Linked DNA regions of Caenorhabditis elegans. The gene in region 1 interacts genetically with each later gene. Each region holds a gene or a part of one and is shown on either strand. Other genes may lie near its edges.

Region 1 (4,688 bases):
ATATACTTATAACGGATTTATGAAGATCCTCGTGGTACCTGAATAAATGATATGTTTTGTTCCAGATCTTTACGGTTTCCTTGATATAACTAACATAGAAGTGCCCAATAAGCTAGTTTCTCTAGAAAAGACCGAAACTAAATCCTCTAGATTCTTTTTATGTGATACAAAACTTCCAATTTTTGTTTCATTTGGAAGCATTGCCTTCAACTTTTTTGCAGATTTCAGTGCCACATCTTTATCTTCTACTTTTATTTTTGCAATGACATTCTCAAATTCATTTCTTGTATCGGCAGCTTTGGATCTCTTGTTCTGAATTGATTCGTCGTTCGCAACACTTCTCCTCTTTTTCGGTGGAATCGCACCTCCATTTGCGCTCATTGCCTGTAACAATTGGACCATTATGCATCCCTTTTGTCTTTTCTACACGCACACATGCACACCGTCTATTCTCTTTCGTTTGATTCGGTCGATATTTGTTGTGAAGGGAGAGACGCGCGCACTCCCCCTCTCTCTCTTACTGAATTGAAAATCCGAAAACGCGCCAACGAGTTCTTGCTGGCGCATATTTTCAAATTTTGAAGTTGCAATTAAAAATTGTTTTTTCTTGATTTTAAGCTATTTTGCTTACATTTTTATTATTTAGACGTATTTTTTTAGGAATCAATGTAATTGACTATTAAAAAACTATTGTTGATTGTAAATAAAGAAATTGCTATTAATTTGAATGAGGAAAACAAAAAAACGGCTTCTGCAGTTCATTTCTCTAATAAAAAACAATTCGAAACAATTCACATACCTTCTGAATCAGACTTTTTCTAAGAAATCAATAGTAAATCCTTTACTGCCCACACTTTACGTCGAACAAGAATCTCCCCGTGTTGACGCCTTTCTCGTGCACGGCCTTTTCACTGCGTTACTCTTTTCCTGTACACTCTCGTGTTGTCTGTGTCTGGCACCCAGCCAACACTATTCGCGCGCATTTTCTATTTTGAAGGCGACCCAATACGCTCGTTTCTTGGCCGTTTTCTAGCATTTTTACAAAATTTTTTTTGCGGATTTAAAAATTTAATTCAGCATGGTTCCATTTTTAATGTTCAGATGCAAATAAATCATGTAAAATTCTAGGGTTAACTCTCTTTAAAGCTCATAAATAAGAACTAATACTCTTTTCGAGAAGTAAGAGATAATCTATTTTTCCTGGCAATTTTCGTTCCTCTATTAATGTATAACAAAGCAGTTGAAGATTTATTAAAATTTTAAGAAAATTCATCAATAGAAATAAACTTTGTTCGCAAATTCACAAATATTTATAAGAACTTGCACTTCACCCTTCTTCTTTTTCAAATTTTCAAGTTTCGCGCGCACGCCGGCACACCAATCAAAAGATCAAAGTAGAATCTCTCATAGAGTTGGAAGCATAGCTACCAAACTAAAAATGTGTAAAAATATAAATTTCAAAATAAAGTTTAAAATTCTTCTAACGTTTAATTCTAGTTGATCTATCTCAGTTTTATTGTAGCTCATTTGTTATTCTTATTCTATTCTTTGTTAATCTGTTACTGTCTCAAGAATTTTGCTCGACTTTCAAATTATTTCCGTTTTCAGACTCAATGAGTACGAAAAGAAAGCGTGCTGCCGAGCCCGACCCGGAAAAGGATGTTGCTTCCACTTCTACCGCTTCCAAGAAGCGGAAAGGACGAATGACAATTGCGGAAAAGGAAAAGCGAGAGTTTGAGGTTGAATATATTTAATATAAGTGTAAATTTATTGTTCTTTTTCCAGATGGCGAAGGGTAATTATGTGATGGCACAGATTCGAAAACATCGAAGTTCCGCCGGCAATAATTCTGTATTCGAGAGTTTTCTCCGATTACCGCCACGCCGCTTCGAGCCTGAATATTATGAGCAAGTAAAAGAGCCGATTGATGTTACCACAATCCAACATAAACTGAAAATTCCCGAATATTTGACGTATGATCAGTTTAATGATGATTTCATGATGTTCATTAAAAACAACCTCACTTACTACAAAGACGAATCTGAAGAACACAAGGATATGATGAAAATTCAAGAACTTTTCGAGGCTGCTACCGCTAAGGTGAAATCTGGAGAATATCTAGATGACGCAGAGGACGAAGAGGGAGACGAAGATGTGGAAGAGACAGTTCAGGAAGAGGAAGAACCTGAAGAGAGTGGAACATCATCTCGTGATTCGACACCTATGGACCTGGATCACTTCATGCTTTGTGATCTTTTGGGAGCGGTTCTTGAAGCGACTGATAACACCGGAAGGCTTCTTTGCCCACCATTCCGAGTTCTTCAAAGTCGAGAAGATTTCCCATTGTACTATGAGAAAATAGCTAAACCAATTGATCTCAAAACGATTGCTCAAAACGGAGTGAACAAGAAGTATTCCACAATGAAAGAACTCAAAGATGATCTATTCCTGCTCTTCAAAAATGCACAGCAGTTTAGTGGAAACGGTAGTGATATTTTCAAAGATGCTGAACAATTGAAAACTGTTGTGAAAGAAAAGATTGCTCGATTGGAAGAGAAGGGAGTTCATCCAATGAGAAGAGCCAAAGCCACACGACTCGTTGATGCTTTGTTAACCGCTGTTGCAGTTAATGAAAACTTCTCAGAAGATTCAGAAGAGGACGAAGAAACTGAAACAAATTCGGAGCCTATGTGGAAGTTGTATTGGACAATCAGAAATGCTGTTCACGAGAAAGATCGAAATGTTACGCTGGCTGACAACTTTTTGGAACTTCCAAGCAAAGAGTGAGTATTAAAGAAAATATTAAAATGTCCATATTAAATGTTTCCATTTTAGATCTTACCCCGACTACTATGATGAGATCAAAAACCCTGTGTCAATTTTCATGATAAATAAAAGATTGAAAAATGGGAAATATGATTTGAAATCTCTCGTCGCTGATCTCATGCAAATGTATTCAAATGCTTTCGACTACAATCTTGAATCATCAGAAGTCTACATTTCTGCGGAAAAGCTGAAGGCACTAACGATATCCACGTGCAAGCAACTTGTTCCTTCATTCGATGTTTCTCAATACGAACCTGCTCCGGCACAACTTACACCAGTGAAACCAAAAGCGACACCACACAGAGCTCGAATTAAGATTGAGATGCCGGACACAGACTCGGAAGATAGTAGGGTATGTGTTTAATATTATTTTGTGTTGATACTTTTCAAAAATGTAATATATTTCAGACTCCACCTCCTACTCATAAAAGGAAATCTCCGAAAAAACCTCGTGAAAATGGAAGTGTTCCTACTCCAACTTTTAAAGGCAGAAAATCGACGATCCCTGTCGATCCAAATGCTGCTTATATGAAGCAAAAAGCAATGATGCAAGGGCTTTGGAACGTTATCCATTCCTACAGAGTCGCTTCGAATCCGGGACATTGGCCAGCGGGAGCATTCATACAATTGCCATCTGCCAAACAATATCCAGAATACTATCAAATTATTCAAAATCCGATTGATATGAAAACGATTCGGATGAGAATAGATGGACATCAGTATCCACAGGTTGATGCAATGATCAACGATTGTCGAGTGATGTTTTCGAATGCTAGAGATTTCAATGAACCCCGTTCAATGATACACATGGATGCTATTCAACTAGAGAAAGCAGTTTTGCGAGCTTATGAAGGAATGAGAAACACGTCACTGGGCTCTTCAATACCGTCAACTCCTCATTCGTCATCGTCAAATCTTATGAAAGCAATGAAACTGTAAGTTATAAAATTTTCTTAATTTATTGCATATTTTTGAATTTGGTCATATTTCTCACTGCAAATATATTTATTCAGAAAAACTCCGAAATCCGAGGTCCGTGGTCGCGGTAAAAAGAACTTTAGTGGATCTGATGATGAGGAATCAGCTCGAATTAACATACAACAACATCAAAGAAGCATGGAGGATGCTATAATGCAGCTTCCAATCGAAGAGCAAAAAATGTGGAGATTGTTCAAATCTATGAAAGATGTTCGTGAGGAAGGAACCAACCGTCCATTGGCTGTAAACTTCATGCGTCTTCCATCAAAGGAGGAATTTCCTGCATATTATGACGTCATTAAAAAGCCGATGGATATGATGAGGATCAAGCATAAGCTGGAGAATCGTCAGTATGTAACACTGCTTGATGTGGTTTCTGATTTCATGCTAATGCTTTCTAATGCCTGCAAATTCAATGAGACTGATTCTGACATCTACAAGGAAGCAGTTTCTCTTCAGAAGGCACTTTTGGAAATGAAGCGAGAGCTTGATACCGGAGATGATGCACCAAGAGTTCAGGTTGAATTGAGAACCATATTTACTTCAATATTTGCCTCGCTGTTCAGTAAGAAAGATGAAGAAGGAAAATGTTATTCGGATCATTTAACTGAATTTACGGAAGTTCTCAAAGCGAATGGAGTACCTTCATCTGAATGGCCATTCACTCTTGATCAAATTAAGATGAATATAGATAAATGCCGTTACAGACGACTCGATAAGCTTCAAAAGGACTTTTTCGATCTGTTCGAAAGAGCAAGAGAACTCTCAAAAGCAGGCTCTTCAATGTACGAAGCAGCATGTACACTTCAAAAATCATTTATTGTTGAACGTGATACACGATGCAAAGATTTGATACACTCAAATGCGTACTGTGTAATTGAAAA
Region 2 (7,923 bases), on another chromosome or scaffold:
GAAGAAAAATAAAACAATGTTTCAGTTAAAAATGTCATCTATAATTTCATAAATTTATTTATAACCATAAAAACCATTTAGGACTAATTAGGCATTAAACAAGGAGATCATACACATATCAAAATGAAGGCATTAAGAACAATTTGAAACATGTTACAAGAAAAGGCAAAGATAGTAAAGGGGTTTTTTCAAAAGTGAGGTTTTAGGCAGTTTCAGGACTATATTTATTATTGTACATTCCACGGATTCCATGCATTATTGGAATTATCTTGATTATTCGGGGTTCCAGTCGGTGGAAGCCCGGCTGCTTGTAGTTGTTGTTGAAGTTGCTGGAGTTGAGCCGCCTGAGCCAAATCCATTTGTCCGTAGGTTGGAAGTGAGAATGGACGGAGTTGCTGTTGTTGCTGCTGTTGTTGTGGATCAGAGTTTGTGGAGAGATTGTTGAATTGCGGTTGGACAGCACTCCGGTTATGTGGAGATCTGGAAAATAATGTTTAGAATTAATGCGGCACTGCTTTTTGCAAAATTTACAGGTAACAAACCTCATCACCAAGTTAGGTGTCATCAAAACTCCATGTGTATTGTCTGATCCTTCAGGTCCACCACCACCACCACCTCCTTGACCACCTCCAACAGAATCTCCCGGTGAATCCTGTCGCTGCATCTGATGATGATTGTCCCGTAATGGAACATTCATCATAGACATACAGCCAGGTGATTGGGCATGATGTTGATGTTGAGATGGATGAACGACTGAGAAGGCACGCTGAGGAGATGAAGGGTTGCCGTAAGTTGATGGTCCACCGTAATCGTTGGGATTCGGAGAGTACGTCTGGAAATTGATAAATGAGAAATTTCTAGATTCTAAGTTTGTATAACCCCAAACGGCCGATTTTTCAAAAATCCCAAAAACCATCAATTTTTCCTTGTCGAAGCAGCTGAAATATAGTTTCTATTAAACTATAACCCGTTATTGCATATTTTCGGTACTAGATCTTGCTGAAATTCGCCGATTTAGGCACTTTTAAAGTCGATAGGCATCCAAAAATCATCAATATTGGCATAATATGACCAAAATTGGATGCTTATTGACTTTAATAGTGCCTAAATCGGCGAATTTAAGCAAGATCTAGTACCGAAAATATATGCAATAACGGGTTATAGTTTGAAAGAAACTATATTTCAGCTGCTTCGACAAGGAAAAATTGGCGAAATTTCAGAAATTCTGTCGCTTGGCTCTTCGTTAATTCAATAAACCTACCGAAAAGTCATTAGTAGCCTGCCAATTGCTAACAGCATCATCAGAAGTAATTGGACGGAACAGAGCATCCGGATTATTCACAATATTGCTCGCGGCAGCCAACATTCTCTGTCTCTTATACTTTCTTCGTTGAGTCTTTTGGAATGTGAGCACTTCCGAATTGTGATGCTTGATGATGTGCTCCTAAAAATTATGAAAATTATCAAAAATTATCATCTAAAATGCTCAAAAACCTTAAGCTTATCACGCCGACTAGATGCATATTCACACTGATCACACTTGAACGGCTTCTCCTCCAAATGAATCCTCTCGTGACGGACCAGATGTGATTTTTCGATGAATCCACGGCCACAGATCTTGCAGAGATGGGCGCGAACCGCCATGTGGGTACGGAGATGGGCCGCCAGTTGGCTTTTTTTGGTCGACGAGTAGTCGCAACCGGCTGAAAATTAACAGTAATGTTTTCAGGATCTTTAAATATGTCATTTTATAGTGTAGTTTTCAGGATCTTTAAATATGTCATTTTATAGGAAAAATAACAAAAAATTGCTCAGATCAACTCCATAGCTGTTTAAACAATACTCCATGTTTAAAAACTCGAAAAAATTACGCACAGCGTGAAGCGAGCTGGGAAAGGCCCTGCATTGGAGAAGAAGAAGCTCTGAGAAAAGTTCTCTGCAAAAGCGCAAAAACTAATGAAACACGTCGAAATGATTTTATGTCGAGCGCGACGATAAAACCATTACCAAATACCTACAGTACCCCAGTGTGTGTTCGGCAGAAAAAAAAAGTGAAAGTGATATGATCCACAGATGATCTAACCACTGTTTCTATCTTCAGCCGCCGTTTTCTTTCGTTTTTTCGACCATTTTTTGTGCGGAAAAGGCGGCGCTGTGTCGCCAAGGAGAAACGAAAATTAATGGAATAGTACGGGTGATAAGGAGACGCAGCGAGGGGGGTTTTTGGTTGGAAAAAAGTAGAAGTGAACTGCGCAAAAGTCATCCAAATGATGGATCGGTTGGCAGGTGATAACGGAACTATTCTGGCATTCAGTGTATTCCAATGCGTGGTGTTACAGGAAATACAAACTGACCAATGTGACAGCTAAAATTGTCTCCAGTATGTTGACGACGATGAAGGGAAAGATGATCGGCGGTTTTGGTGGCGAAACCGCAATCCTCACAGATATAAGGCCTGAAATTTGGAAGAATTTGATGGAAATTGTGAAAATTCTGAATTTGAATAAAAGTCGCCTTGTTTGGTTTTGAGACAATTATTATTATTGCCTCCAAACGTTACTAGCAAAATTGGAATTGCCTCAAAATCAGATCTTGCATGGTTTTTTATTTCAAATTCGCACATTATTAACTTTCAGATCTCGAAATTTCATAGTAAAAACTTACCTAGGATCATTATGACTAGCAACATGATGATCCAATGTACTATGCTGTTGGAATCCTCTTCCACACTCTTCACAGTGTAATGATCGATCATCGAGTACAGAATGCATTCGTTCGTGAGCAAACAGTTGAGAACGAGTTCGACCTTTCCATGCACATTCACCGCATTTGAAGAAACGCTCGTCGGCTGAAAATTTGACAATTTTAGAGGGTTTTTTTGTTTCTTTTAGAAAGTAATTTTGGAAAACAATTTTATTCAGCCGTTTTTTTTCGGTTTTAATGTGTTTCCTTCGGCAAAGTCAACGTGTGTCTGATGGTAAATTTAAAAAAAAAACAGAAAATTGAAAGCTTAGCTATTCATTCGATTTTTTGGAGATTAATTAAAAATTTAAATTGATATTGTTGGTAAATTCTGAAAATATGAAAAAAACATTATCGATCAATTTTTTTACAAAAATTAATTTTCATAATTTGGTTTTTTAAATGAAAATAGGTTTATATTTCAAGAAACATTGTGAATTTCAGAAAAAGAAACGATTTATCTGAAAATACATTTAATTTTTTTGTAGTTTCAAAAAAAAAGAGTTTTTTTTTCAAAATTAAAAAATGTACGTTTTTTTCCAAAATTTTTGTAAAAACTCACTATGCTGAAGCCTATGGGTCAAAAACTCTTGTATCTCATTTGAAGTGAACGGACACGTTTCACATCGATACGGTATCTCTGTCCAGTGCTCAGCACAATGAAGATAGAATTGTTTGCTCCAATTGGTTTCAAATTCACATAAATGACACATATAATACGTATTGCGATTGTGATGACGAGCTTTGTGCTTTTCGAGAAGCTGAAAATATGAGGAAATTGTTGAAGAATCGATCGAAATATTTTACAACACTTTTCTGGTTTTTTTTTTTTTTTGGTTTTTTGGAACATAAAACTCATAAAACCAGCAGAAGATCGTTCGTACACGAGTTTGTTTTTACATTTTCCCAAAATATGGAACTTTACATCAAAATATTTTTAAAAAAATAAATTATGCATGAAAGTTTCCAAATTGTGCTGTAATTCTTTAAAAAAATATTTTTAAAGATATATATTATATAGACACAAAAATTTGCAATTTTCGAGCCTGGTCTCGACACGACAAATTTTCGTTAGAACCGAAAACAATTATGCGCCTTTAAAGATTACTGTACGGTGTTTTTGTTGATTTTTCATAGTTTTTTTTTCTAAAATTTAAGCTTTTTAAAAACTATTTAAATTTCGGAATATTTGGTTGATAAATAAATATATTTTATCGAAAAACTAAAAATAATCGATAAAAACTCCTCAGATTGAAAATACAGTAATCTTTAAAGGCGTAAATTTTCTTGATGTAGCCAAAAATCGTCGTGTCGAGTTTTGTATATTAAATAAACGCCAAAATATGAAATTTTCGCCAAAATCTGGTCAGGTCTCACCACACCGACAACAGGTTACTGTAGCCCATTGTTCGGTGTGTCGAGACCTTTTTGACGTCTAAAAATAGAATAAATCATATTGACGGTTTAAATTTGAGAAAAATAATATTTTTTTCGCATTTTTTCAAGGTTTTAATTGATTTATTTTTTGTCAATACCTCCTCATTTGCAGTCCGCAGTCCACAGAAAATACAAGTGGACGGTCCATTCTCATCAGGTTGATCTTCTTCATCTTCACAATCATCTGGATCCAAATTGTCAACTGGTCCATAGGTATGACATCCTTCCAATGAACATGTAGCATATACACCATCAATTTCGTCTTCGTCGATCCATGGAATACCTGGAAATTTTATTGATAAGGAATTTGACAGAAGATTTCTTCAATTTTTGATTTTACAATTTCACAAAATCCCTTTTTTTTTGAGAAAAAAAACCAGCTCACTTTCATTTTCCGTCGCATTAATCGGTGGAATTGGGTGCAAATGATGTTTTTTCATTCCTTTTGGTCGTTTTAATCTAAAATTTTCCATTGAATTTTATCAATTTTTTCATATAATCACTAACCGCTTCTTCTCATTTCCCGGCTGGAATGCAATCTTCATTTTCAGTCGATTATTAACATCATTTCCGTATTCAACAACTTGTGCAGATGTTGGATGTCCATCAGCTATATAATCATCTGGATCCTCTTCAGAATCACTTGAATCATAAATATCATCTTCAAATTGAGATGGATCGTGGAGAATCGGAAGATCAACGATTTTCTGACGAAGACTGCTCAGTTGAGTCGAGTACTTTTCCATAAGCATGTTATTTGTTTCCCTACAAAAATTATTTCATCAGTAATAATTTTGTAAACTTTAACAACTCCACTTACATGACATGTAGTAGCAAAAATCGACTTTTCTGACTTTTCGATAGCAACGGCGAGTAATCCAGAAGAAATTCCAGTGTGTCAGCTGAAACTTCTCGAAATTCGCAGGATTCTAGTAGTAATCGGAAGATTTCCTCTCGCTTCGATACTTCTTCACCGACCCAGCGGACTATTAATCTGAAAAAATTACTGTTTTAGTCATTTTGGAACGAAAAAACTCACTTTAAATAAGTGTCAGAAGTAATACAATCCACGTATTTCGGATCTCCAATGAGTCTTGTCAGTTGTGTATACGTGTAACCAATTATATCTCTGGATTCCAGTAAACATCGATTAAGATTGCTGTCAAAGTAGTCTGTAGCAGACTGAAAAAAGAAATTCGAAGTTTCTCGCTTTTAAAGCTTTAAAAATTCAAATTCTTACTTTCACAAGTCCTGGTAGATTATATCTCTGAGCTAACGTTCGTATTGATAAGCAATTGGCCGCGTCTAGATATCGATCCAAATAAGCTGCACAATACACTTTTAGCTTCACTATCTGAAAAAAACGGAATTATAGCAGGAATAGTCGATCGAAAAATCAATAATATTACCAGAAAATTATTTGCAAATCTCAATAGCTCCGAAACACTTGATCGATCGATAATCACTGTTCCACTGTACATATAATTGAGGAATAACTCGAAAACTTGTGGAGATTTGCTATTTATTGTGAGCTGTTCCTTTGTGATTTTGCAATATTTGAAAATTGCGTCAAAATATGGACTGTGAGCTGCTAAAATGTTTCGATGAGCCGCAAATGATTTGTTTTGAACAACAATTTCCACATCACAAAATCGGCCGGTTTTTCGTTGATATTGTAATCGTTGGAACACTGAAAAATAAAAGTTAATTTAATTATCAAGCCAAGATTGAATTAAATACAAAACTCTTACACATATGACTGGTTTGCCCAGAACTATCATCAAATGTCATTGGACAGAGCCCTGTGTTTTCGGAACTAGCTACTAATGTCATCTGAAATTAAATTGAAATAATTTTCATTGCGATTTTATAATTTATTCGATGGGAAACTCACATTTTATCGAGGAAGACGTCAATAAACTTAGAATAAATGCTCCGATTCAAATCGGGTGAGGAGTGTGCAGACGCGCTCTACTGAACAATCTAAAAGATTATCGATTTGCAAATATTATTTCAATGGATTTTTAACGATAGTTATATATTTAACGAAATTCAAATTTTATTCGAGATTTCAAAAAAAGAAAATATATATCTGAGCATAACGACACATAAAAAATTTAAAACTGAGCGAAATTCCAATTTGTAACATATTTTAACAACGAATTAAAGCTGATGTAGACATTGTTCTAATCGGCGTTTTTTTAATGAATTAACAATATAAGTTAGTAATAATTCAAGAAAGAAAAAATAAATAATTAATCATCAGGAACCGGCGTTTCAATTCTAGAACCATTCTCGTATTCTCCATATGGTGTTCTATAAAATTGAATGACTTTCACAACGAAATCATTCACTTGTTCGTCTTCTTCTTCGTATTCTCCAAAACACGGAACGCCATTATTGTGAATTGTAGACTCAAAATCTTTGTACTTTGTATCGCTTTTATTCTCCAGAACAATCAACATCGGAGTAACAATTTCAGACGCATGTGAGACCGGCTCCACGTCTTTCAGAAATTCAGCTTCAGGGTTTTCTGTATCAACTGCACACGTTGTGAATGGAAATTCGAGCATCGGCCGTACGAGTGCACATCCTTTATAGAATTTCTGAAAATAGTGAATTAAAAAATATGAAAATCCATGAGACGCTAAATTTTGTGATTTTCGTGCCAAAAATAGAAAAATATCGGGGTAACGACACGACATTTTTTGAAAGTTAAAGGTGGAGTACCGAAATCAGAGACTTTGTTTTTTTTTAACTATAATGTCGCAAAACTGACGGATCTATCAATAAAACTTTCAAAATATTTCTGAAGAAAACATGTCGTGTCGAAACCGGGTATTGTATTTTTCACCAAAAATCGCAGAATCTCGCGTCGATGTAATATCCCACCTTATGTTTGATAATCAGACTACACGCCACAAAAGATCCAAATTCAAATCCATACAAGTAAATATATTTTTCATCTAACCGCGCTCCGTGTCTCTCGAGAACTTCTAGTACAGTTTCCTGTAAAAAAAATCATAAAATGAGGAAAAAAACGAACGATTCTCTACATGAACATCATTAATACATTCCGAACCACAATTCTTTGGAAAGCAGGTTCCTGGAATTGCTATAAATGGCTCCCGATAGTTTACAACTAGCACACAGAAGCCACAAGTTACCATTGTAGAGAGCACAGGGTCAACGGTACTGAAAATTTAAATTTAATTTTAAATTTATAAATCAATTCTTTATAAACAGGGAAAATTGCTATTTGAACATTTTTAAATTAAAAAAATAAAGATAGAAAATTGCGGTTGAAATTGAAAGCTCGATCCGTGAATTTTGCAATTCTTTCGATGCTTTTTTTGTTGATTTTTCAATAAATTTTGAGTCTAAAGAAAAAAAATCTACCTAACGGTGAAATTAGGTTCTAATCCGGAAAAGGGGACCACGACCAGCGGGAACTTCGATCCGGGAGAAACACATTCCGGCAACATGTAGAGTATCGCAGAATTGCCAATTTTTTGAAAACTCATTGGATAAATGTGAAAATTGTGAATCGTATCGTTTTCTGGCTTGTGTGTGCATAACAGCGATGCCGTGAATTTACCATCACTTTGTGAGCCCAATTGAGAATGCCAAAGACGAGAATAAGCGTTTGCTGTGATCGTTTCAAAAAGGAATTCATCGCCTCGAACATCAATAATTAGTGAAGGCCGTTTCAAGTCAAGGCACGTGGTTCTTAAACTTTCAACG
Region 3 (7,857 bases), on another chromosome or scaffold:
AAAATAACAAAATTGACAGAAAAGGGAATTTCTTTCTGACCAGCTCTCTATGTATACAAGAACAGTAGTTCAATATTTTACAAAAAGTGTTTCTAAAATATCAATTTTTGTACAACAACGCGGAAAACATATGTATAAGACTTCTCACTTTAGCCGGTTTAAAAACTACAAATAAAGGTTTTTAGCATTAACGTTTTAAAGCAATTCTCAAAATAATACTGATCTGGAAAATTAATGCAATGGTCTTGTCTTTTTCAATTTCAGGTATTGACTTATTGTTTAACCTTTAAACTTGTAATAAAACAATTTTTACATTTTATTGAAGCACATCAAATCCAAAATTTTATTTATACTGAATGAAAAATGTTTCAACTAGATTTTGTCGAGTTCTGACAGCATAGTTTCGTAGACAAATCAAGAATTTTTAATTTTGCAATAACGTAACATCAAAACAAAATCGTAATTTATTTATTACCAAAACAAAGACGAATTAACTGAATGAATGAAACATGAAAAAGACCTGTATATAACACGTTGCAGATTTCAAACTATGCTGTTTTTTAATCAAAAATACAAATTGTCTTTGTAAAGTGTATCTCCACTAAACGTCTAACCACTGGCAGCAAAAAAATACCTATTTTGAAAATATGGCTATTTTTGTTTCCTCCGTATTGAATTTTTTTTTGAAATTCGAATTTTCCGAGTAGCAAAAAAGTGCCGTACATGAAAAAATATAATTTTTTTTGTTCTTTCAAGTCGATGTACCACCGTCTTTGCAACTACACTATTCACTCCAAAAAAAATCCAAGAAATTTTTTTTTTGCTACCACCATTAAAACGTGTGGAAATTATTTTAGACTGGTTAATTGCGAGTAGCAAAAAAGTGTCCTACCAGAAAAAATAGCAAATTTTCTGTTCTTTCAGGTCGATGTACCACCGTCTTTGTAACTGCGCTATTCATTTCAAAAAACACAAGAAATTTTTTTCAGAATGTTGAACTGGATGCAATAAAAATTTTAAATAATCCACTCTTCGAAATTCCGAAAACAGAACAAGACTTCACTGTGGTGATTTTCATTAAAATCAATATGTGGTAATTTTGTATACTCTCTCTATTTTCTGTTACGGATAAAATAAAAATTGACAACGGAATTTCTGAATTTGAAACATGCATTCAAAAAAAAAAACGATTCCTGTTGGTAACACATATGCACAGCACACTTAAAATGAAACAAACCTGATAAGACATTTTTTAAACTTTTAGGTTCAGTATTTTTGTATTATCTATTTGAAAAGTTACTATTCATTCATTTTTCTTTTTTCCTTAAAATTCTTGTTGCGGATGGAAAAACTAAACCTGAAAATAAATCAAGTGAATACATTAAGCTTTTTCTACTTTTTCCTTACAATGTAATAATTGAAAAGATGCATTTATGAGTTATCGTGATGTCTATTTTTGATTAGTCTCCTGTATTAAAAATCGCGGAAAGCATCAATATGGCCTACGTTTTAAACATCCTCGTCCGTACAGCCACTATCTCTTCCATTACCCTTCATATAATTACACCCGCGTGCCTATTCGCCCTTACACAGTCACTCAGTCCGTCCGTCCAGTCGACTTGTCCTCTTTCTCTGCACTCTCCGATCCTTAACCACTACTCACATGTAAACACACGCGACCGACTGCGATGTGTTCTTTTGCGCCGACCTCCTCTCGCGGACGAAAAATCAATAGGATGGCGGTCATTCGAATTGTGTAACGAAAGCGTTTTTTTTTGCTGCTTTCCGCGTTTTACTAGATTTATTTATAGGTTTGGTTTCCGTATTAATAGCCAATTTGTAGATTATCTAACTGCACTAATGAAATTCGATGGATCAACGTAATCAAAAATCTTTGCTGCCCGACTTTTCGGCAAATGGGTTTTCCGGGCAGTTTAATGGTAAGCAATAAGAAATTAAAAAAAAAAACTTAAAATTTAAAATTTAAAACTTATTGTTAAACTTATTTTATATGCATTTTTATTCAGGAATTCCTCATGGAAATACCAACGCAATTATGTCAACAATTCAGTCGTTGCAAATGCACAGCATGGGCAATCAGTTGTTGCCTCATGGCGATCTCCAAACCGATCTCCAAAATCAGTTTCTTATTGAGCAAGTGAGTTGGAAAATTCTAGCAAAAATATATTCGAGTGACAAAAATGTTAAACTACTCATTTTTGAAAATAAGATAGGATTATAAATCTGACGTGAGCTGTGTATATCATTTTGACTATCTTTGTCGCATACTTTGCACTTGAATTATTATTTTATTTACATAACTTTATTAAAAGCTAGTCGAAACTAAATTTGTATACTTCTTGTTGTTTCAGTTCCAACTAAGAGCAATGCAATCGATGTACAACACTTTTAACAACGGAAACCAGAAGCAACCTCAAGCAAGTCTTACAATGTCGCAGTTCAACTCAATGACTGGGAATGAGCCATCTACCTCAAGCAACGTGTTCTCCGCATCCATTCCAACTACTTCAGGAACACAAATTGTAAGTTGGTTTGTTTCAACCGCTTTTTCTCTTTCTCAAAAAAATTTAATTAAAAAGTAAATTCCGTTCATTTATTCAATGTATAATTTCAGAACGCATCTCAACCTATGATTCCCACCACATCAATGCATAATCTCGCTGTTCAGAGCTCTATGATGCTCGAAAACAAACTAGGACAAAATTTAAATCTAGTAAGTGGCATTGGTTTGGATAATAAATTAATTATATTTAACATGTGTGATAAAGTTTCAGAAAACTACCCAACTCGCACAAACGACCATACCTCAGGCACAAGCTGCTGTTGAAGATTGGATGAAAAACATTTGTGTGGATTCTTTACTCGACCCGAAACAAGCAAAGACACCATCAACAACACCATCTGCACAAGTTTCAGCTGGAACCACATTCAATAGTACTCCAGCAGTATCTTGTGCCACCCCACTGACGGCAACTGTAAGCCTGGCGACTAAACCTTCGGAACCATCTGCTGCTTCGTCTATGCCGACGTCTTCGGAATCGGTGGACGCGACGAAAGGGGACGCGATCGACTTTGATGATGAAGCGCATGATGATGTAGACAATATTTTTGGATTATCACTTTCGGAAAGTGACGTGAGGTCCGGCTCGATGTATCGACGGCCCGATTCGGCGGATCGTGTTCATAGTCCTATTGATGTAAGTGGGAAAGGATGAGTCTGGAAAAAAGAAAATTACAGTTTTCACAAAATTCGTTCAAAACTAAAATGATTGAATGAGTTTCTTTACCTACTATCTTTACAAAAAAAAATTCCAATCAATTTCCATTTTTAGTCAGTCTTTTCTAGTTTACGCCACCCGACTCTCCCCAAGCTGAACTGACATTTGACGAAATATTTGGAATATCAGCACCATCGACATCTGCAAAAGCCGCCACCAAAGAAAAGCCAGTACCGAAACCAAGGAGTGAAATGGTATTTCATGATGTTCCATCCACAAGTAAAGACGGTAAGAGTATATTTTTTAGTAAAACTAATGGGTATTTCGCTTTGAGAAAAATACACTTGTTTGGAATAATGATATACCACAGAAGGAAATTTTTTTCACCGACAATCTTCCCCATTTTAGATATCGCTACAGGGACGCGCGGCAATAAGGAATTTCCGGCAATAGGTAATTTCGGAAATTTCCGCCAACCGGCAATTCCGGCAATTGCCAGTTTCCAAAATTTTCGGCAATTTCGGCAATTGGCGAAATTACCGAAATTGCCAGTTTTCAAAATTTCCGGCAATTCCGGCAATTGGCGAAATTGCCAAAATTGTCTAAATTGCCGGACACGTTCTGCGATTTTCAAACCTAAATATATTTTAATAAAATTGAAAACATTCCACCCCTTTTTGTTAGTATTCGGTTAGTCTTTTTTTTAAAGAAAATGGTCAATCCTTAAAGGAATAAATCATTTTGAGCTTGAAAATAGAAAATTAATGATTAAAATGCATGTTTAGGCTCCTAAATCCTCAAAAAGTATCAAGTTTATTTATATATTTCCGGCAATCGGCAATTCCGGCAATTGCTGGATTTCAAAATTTCCGACAATCGGCAATTTTGGCATATGCCGGTTTATGAATTTTCGACATTCTGAAACTTCGGCAATTGTTGCGCACCCATGTCTCGCTATGTTTTCCTTAACCAGACCTCAATTTTTATGGAATAAATTTTTTTGTAGATGTCTGCAAACCACGTTAAAAAATGTTTATCAAAATGAAATTCATCGTTTTTATTTTTGAATAAACATTCTTCAGACTCAATAATCTCTTTTTAATATCATTTTTAAGTAACTTGTCTTTAGAATTAGTTTTACCAACTCCAAATCACATTAATCAAAACTAAATTACAGCTACTCCACAAAGAGTCCCGAAACCTGCTCCAACCGCTGCATCAAAAGAAGAGGATGACTTTGTCAACAACTTCGTTAAACCACAAAATGTAATCCACATTTACAAAATGTTTTTAAAAATTCAAATGTTTCAGGTTCCTGTGTACAAACAAAAAGCTGCCCTCATGTCCCTTGAAGCAAGAGAAAACGCTCGGAAAGAAGATCCAAACTATGATGCTTTTGAGTTTGAGGATGACGATGATTTCGTGTTTGGTGGGCCTTCGGCAGATTTGAGGCGTGAGCCTGAGCTTACGAAGAAGATTGAACAGAAGGCGAAAAGTGTATACATAACTGGAGTAGGGTTTTCAATTCGAAATGATAAAGAAAAGGAGTATAGTAGTAAGAAATATTATTCCAAACCATCAGCAACTCATCAGCCGAATTTCAATGACACAATTAATGGTAATATTTAACTTTACAATACCATATATTTATATCAAAATTACCTATTTCAGAGAAAGCATTTTTCACGACAGCTGATGAAATTCGTGCTCAAAAAGATCAGCAACTGGTTTGCGCATTCTTAAAACCCGAACAAGTTACCAGCACAGAATGCGTGAGGAATATGAGAAAAGTGACACGAGAAGAGCCAATGCTTCCGAAATTTATAATAAGGGTTGAGCAAGTGCAAAACCAGCATGAAGAACCAATGACTAGAAGGCGATATAAAAGAAAGAAGAACAAAAGTGATAATGACGACTCGGATTTTGAAGATGTGGCGTATAGGAAGAGGAAAACGGCAAAGAAAGTGTAAGTGGAATTTGATTGGGAATGGGAGTCTAGTTATTCTTCATGGCAAATAAAAAAATAAAGTAGGGCTTCCATGCAGGCGCCAAAACGCCTACCGGGAGCGGAACCCAAAAAGTGTCGGGCGCGGCGATAGAACCAAATTTTCAATATGTAGTTTTGAAGAAACTACGACTGTTTCAATTTATGAAAGTCCTATTTTCAGTTACACAATGCACAAAGAAAATGATCCCACTTTTCGACGAACTGTCTTGGACTTTTCAATTGGTCCATGCGTCTCTGATGAAGAAAAGAAGCGCGTCAGCATGTTTGGCCCGGCTGAAGGAATTTTACCCGTGAGCTTGAATTGATCGTTCTGTTTTAATTCCCAATTTGTGTATTATCAGAAAGGAACATATGTAATATGCAAAGCTGACATGCTGAAAGAAGATTGCGCTGTATGGAGAGTTGACAATCAGAATTTACTTCAGAAGTTTCCTCCGTTTAGAGATAGCAAAGCTAATCGACTAGTCTATCGCAGTAGTAGTACGGTAAGATTTGATTTTTGAGAAAGCGCAGCTTATATTTCACAGTTTTCAGTATTCGGGATGGTGCGAACAAATCTCATCACAATACTTCCGGGTCGCTGTGAAAATTATCAAACAGACACGTTCCGAGACAACAGTGGAGCCCGAAGTCCCCCTTGCCGAACTGTTTCCGGCGTCCTCTGTGGAATGGTTCAAGAATCCTGGGACTGTGTTTTTTGAAGGTATTTTGATAATTTTTTTTTGTTTCACCTTCTTTTATAAATAAATGTTGCAGAAGAGACGAAGGTTGAGCCAATAGACGATGATTCAATTTTAACGGAGCCAAGACGAGTCTCCCTAAACACTCTTGTCAACGCGTACCTAACACAGGTGTTTACAAAAACCCACGTGGAAAGCCTCATAGATGATAAAGGTAAGGTGGTTACAGAAGGACTTCTGACACGCTAAGCTTATTTCATTTTGAATGCCCAAAATTCAAATGGAAAATAAAGAACCATATGTTTTCAAAACAATTGTTAAAATTCCTTTAGGTCAATTTACAGAGCGGCGGCTCACTGATGCACATAGTGTTTATAGCATAGAATTGTTTTTTTTTTCTGTTAAAAAATTTGAACGATATCTCAAATAAGGTCTACAGGTTACTGTTCGCCGAAATGATTTTGCGCACAGCTCTGCGGTAGTTTTTGAAAAATTTGTAACAAAATACATGAAGCCTTATCAAGATCAATATGTTTTGAATTTGTTCATGCAAATTATAGCAAACTTTTCAAAATGTGCAAACTTAGAAAACTTCTTGAAATGTAATAAAACGTAGATCACGGCTCCCGTGTAACATAATATCACAAAAGAAAAATCAAAAAATAAAATGTTTGAATTCGATTAAAACTCGCCACTTTTTCAGATTGGACCTATTCTCGTTCAATAGCAGAACTCGAAACCAACAACAAACAATGCGAAGGGCTGATCAAAAAACGCATACCTGTCGAGCCGAAACACAATCGATGGATTGCGAAATACACTAGATTGGCCATATCAAAATCATCATTTCACTGCTTTACAAAGTGTCAGGTACAGTAAATATAATAAGATAGGGAAAGGAAGAACATCTAGTTGATTGTTCATTGTTTGCTACAGAATATGCAGAATATTGGAAATAGTGGTTAGTTGACATAAATTATATGATTTAGAAACTGATCATCAAAACGAATGAAGTCTATACAACTGTGTGTTTTTGCAGATTTGCAAACGGAAAAAGCCGCGGAGAGTGATTCACTTTTTCGACAAAACATCTTGCAATGAAAAACTGCTTGTGGAGAATCTATCAAGCGATATCCATGATGAAAATGAAGACGATGAAGAATATCCAATTGTATCTGATGCGATATCGTGTGGTCGGTGTTCAATGGCAGTTGACTTTCTTCACCGCATGCATCATATTAAATTCCATATGCTTAGGATATGTGAGGATAAGGTAATTAATTTAAATTTTAAAACAGTGTTATGAAGCTAATTCGGTTCTTTTTTACAGCTAGAAGAAATTGGTACATCTGATATCGACTTGACATCCGATAAGATTGTGGAGAAAGCGAAAGCCGACAAAGTCTGGACGCTTGGTGTCATTCAAAAATATTGCGATTTATGGGATCAAGTCCGTTACGAGTTTCGCGATGTGTAATACTGTAATAAACAATTTGAACAACTTTTATAACACATTTTGATTTTCGATTTCTGATTTTTCGACTGATATCCCTGAAAAATAATAGCGAAGAAGAAGAATGTAGTGTTTCTGCGACGGCTGATCACATGGAAACAAATGCTGCGCACTTATTTCTTGAACTTTCCGATTGCCTGTGCTTTTCTTTTCTCATAATTAGTTTTTCAACACAACTTTTGTAAAAAATTTTGTAAGAATTTTTCTGCGTAACATAATTCAATTATATTTTTATTTTTATTTATACGATATTGGCCAAATTTAAAAAAAACAATCCAATGTTTTCGAAAACTGGGCACTTTATCAGAACGTGTTCTGAAATTTTTTTTTTCAAAACTTAAAAAAGGACTATTGTAAGTGTATCAAGACAAAACCCCCACTGAAACAACTTCTTTAAAATAGGCCCATACCAAAAAA

Evidence for each region.
Region 2: of pbrm-1 (region 1) and eor-1, changing one enhances a phenotype caused by changing the other (phenotypic enhancement), as found in Caenorhabditis elegans (one large-scale study listed by BioGRID).
Region 3: of pbrm-1 (region 1) and eor-2, changing one enhances a phenotype caused by changing the other (phenotypic enhancement), as found in Caenorhabditis elegans (one large-scale study listed by BioGRID).

Annotation. Positions count from the first base shown.
Region 1 is NC_003279.8:7,493,829-7,498,516, forward strand, and holds the start of pbrm-1 (Bromo domain-containing protein), read left to right. Parts: upstream 1-1,608; 5' UTR 1,609-1,613; coding exon 1,614-1,739; intron 1,740-1,785; coding exon 1,786-2,783; intron 2,784-2,835; coding exon 2,836-3,178; intron 3,179-3,234; coding exon 3,235-3,761; intron 3,762-3,839; coding exon 3,840-4,688. Other genes in the region: T28F4.4 (Inverted formin-2), read right to left, coding at 1-38, 95-381.
Region 2 is NC_003282.8:4,793,165-4,801,087, forward strand, and holds eor-1 (Zinc finger protein), read right to left. Parts: upstream 6,024-7,923; 5' UTR 6,013-6,023; coding exon 5,931-6,012; intron 5,870-5,930; coding exon 5,589-5,869; intron 5,534-5,588; coding exon 5,420-5,533; intron 5,362-5,419; coding exon 5,219-5,361; intron 5,174-5,218; coding exon 5,000-5,173; intron 4,945-4,999; coding exon 4,687-4,944; intron 4,639-4,686; coding exon 4,565-4,638; intron 4,463-4,564; coding exon 4,278-4,462; intron 3,504-4,277; coding exon 3,305-3,503; intron 3,249-3,304; exon of another isoform or gene 3,100-3,248; intron 2,849-3,099; coding exon 2,665-2,848; intron 2,456-2,664; coding exon 2,355-2,455; intron 1,704-2,354; coding exon 1,495-1,703; intron 1,445-1,494; coding exon 1,262-1,444; intron 833-1,261; coding exon 543-832; intron 481-542; coding exon 228-480; 3' UTR 30-227; downstream 1-29. Other genes in the region: dpf-7 (Dipeptidyl Peptidase Four (IV) family), read right to left, coding at 6,435-6,785, 7,072-7,188, 7,236-7,374, 7,579-7,923.
Region 3 is NC_003284.9:14,601,222-14,609,078, forward strand, and holds eor-2 (EOR-2), read left to right. Parts: upstream 1-1,843; 5' UTR 1,844-1,870; coding exon 1,871-1,940; intron 1,941-2,027; coding exon 2,028-2,158; intron 2,159-2,372; coding exon 2,373-2,543; intron 2,544-2,635; coding exon 2,636-2,734; intron 2,735-2,789; coding exon of another isoform or gene 2,790-2,795; coding exon 2,796-3,218; intron 3,219-3,367; coding exon 3,368-3,527; intron 3,528-3,647; coding exon 3,648-3,692; intron 3,693-4,416; coding exon 4,417-4,505; intron 4,506-4,550; coding exon 4,551-4,857; intron 4,858-4,910; coding exon 4,911-5,205; intron 5,206-5,407; coding exon 5,408-5,537; intron 5,538-5,588; coding exon 5,589-5,732; intron 5,733-5,781; coding exon 5,782-5,950; intron 5,951-6,003; coding exon 6,004-6,141; intron 6,142-6,630; coding exon 6,631-6,797; intron 6,798-6,966; coding exon 6,967-7,200; intron 7,201-7,257; coding exon 7,258-7,404; 3' UTR 7,405-7,433; downstream 7,434-7,857.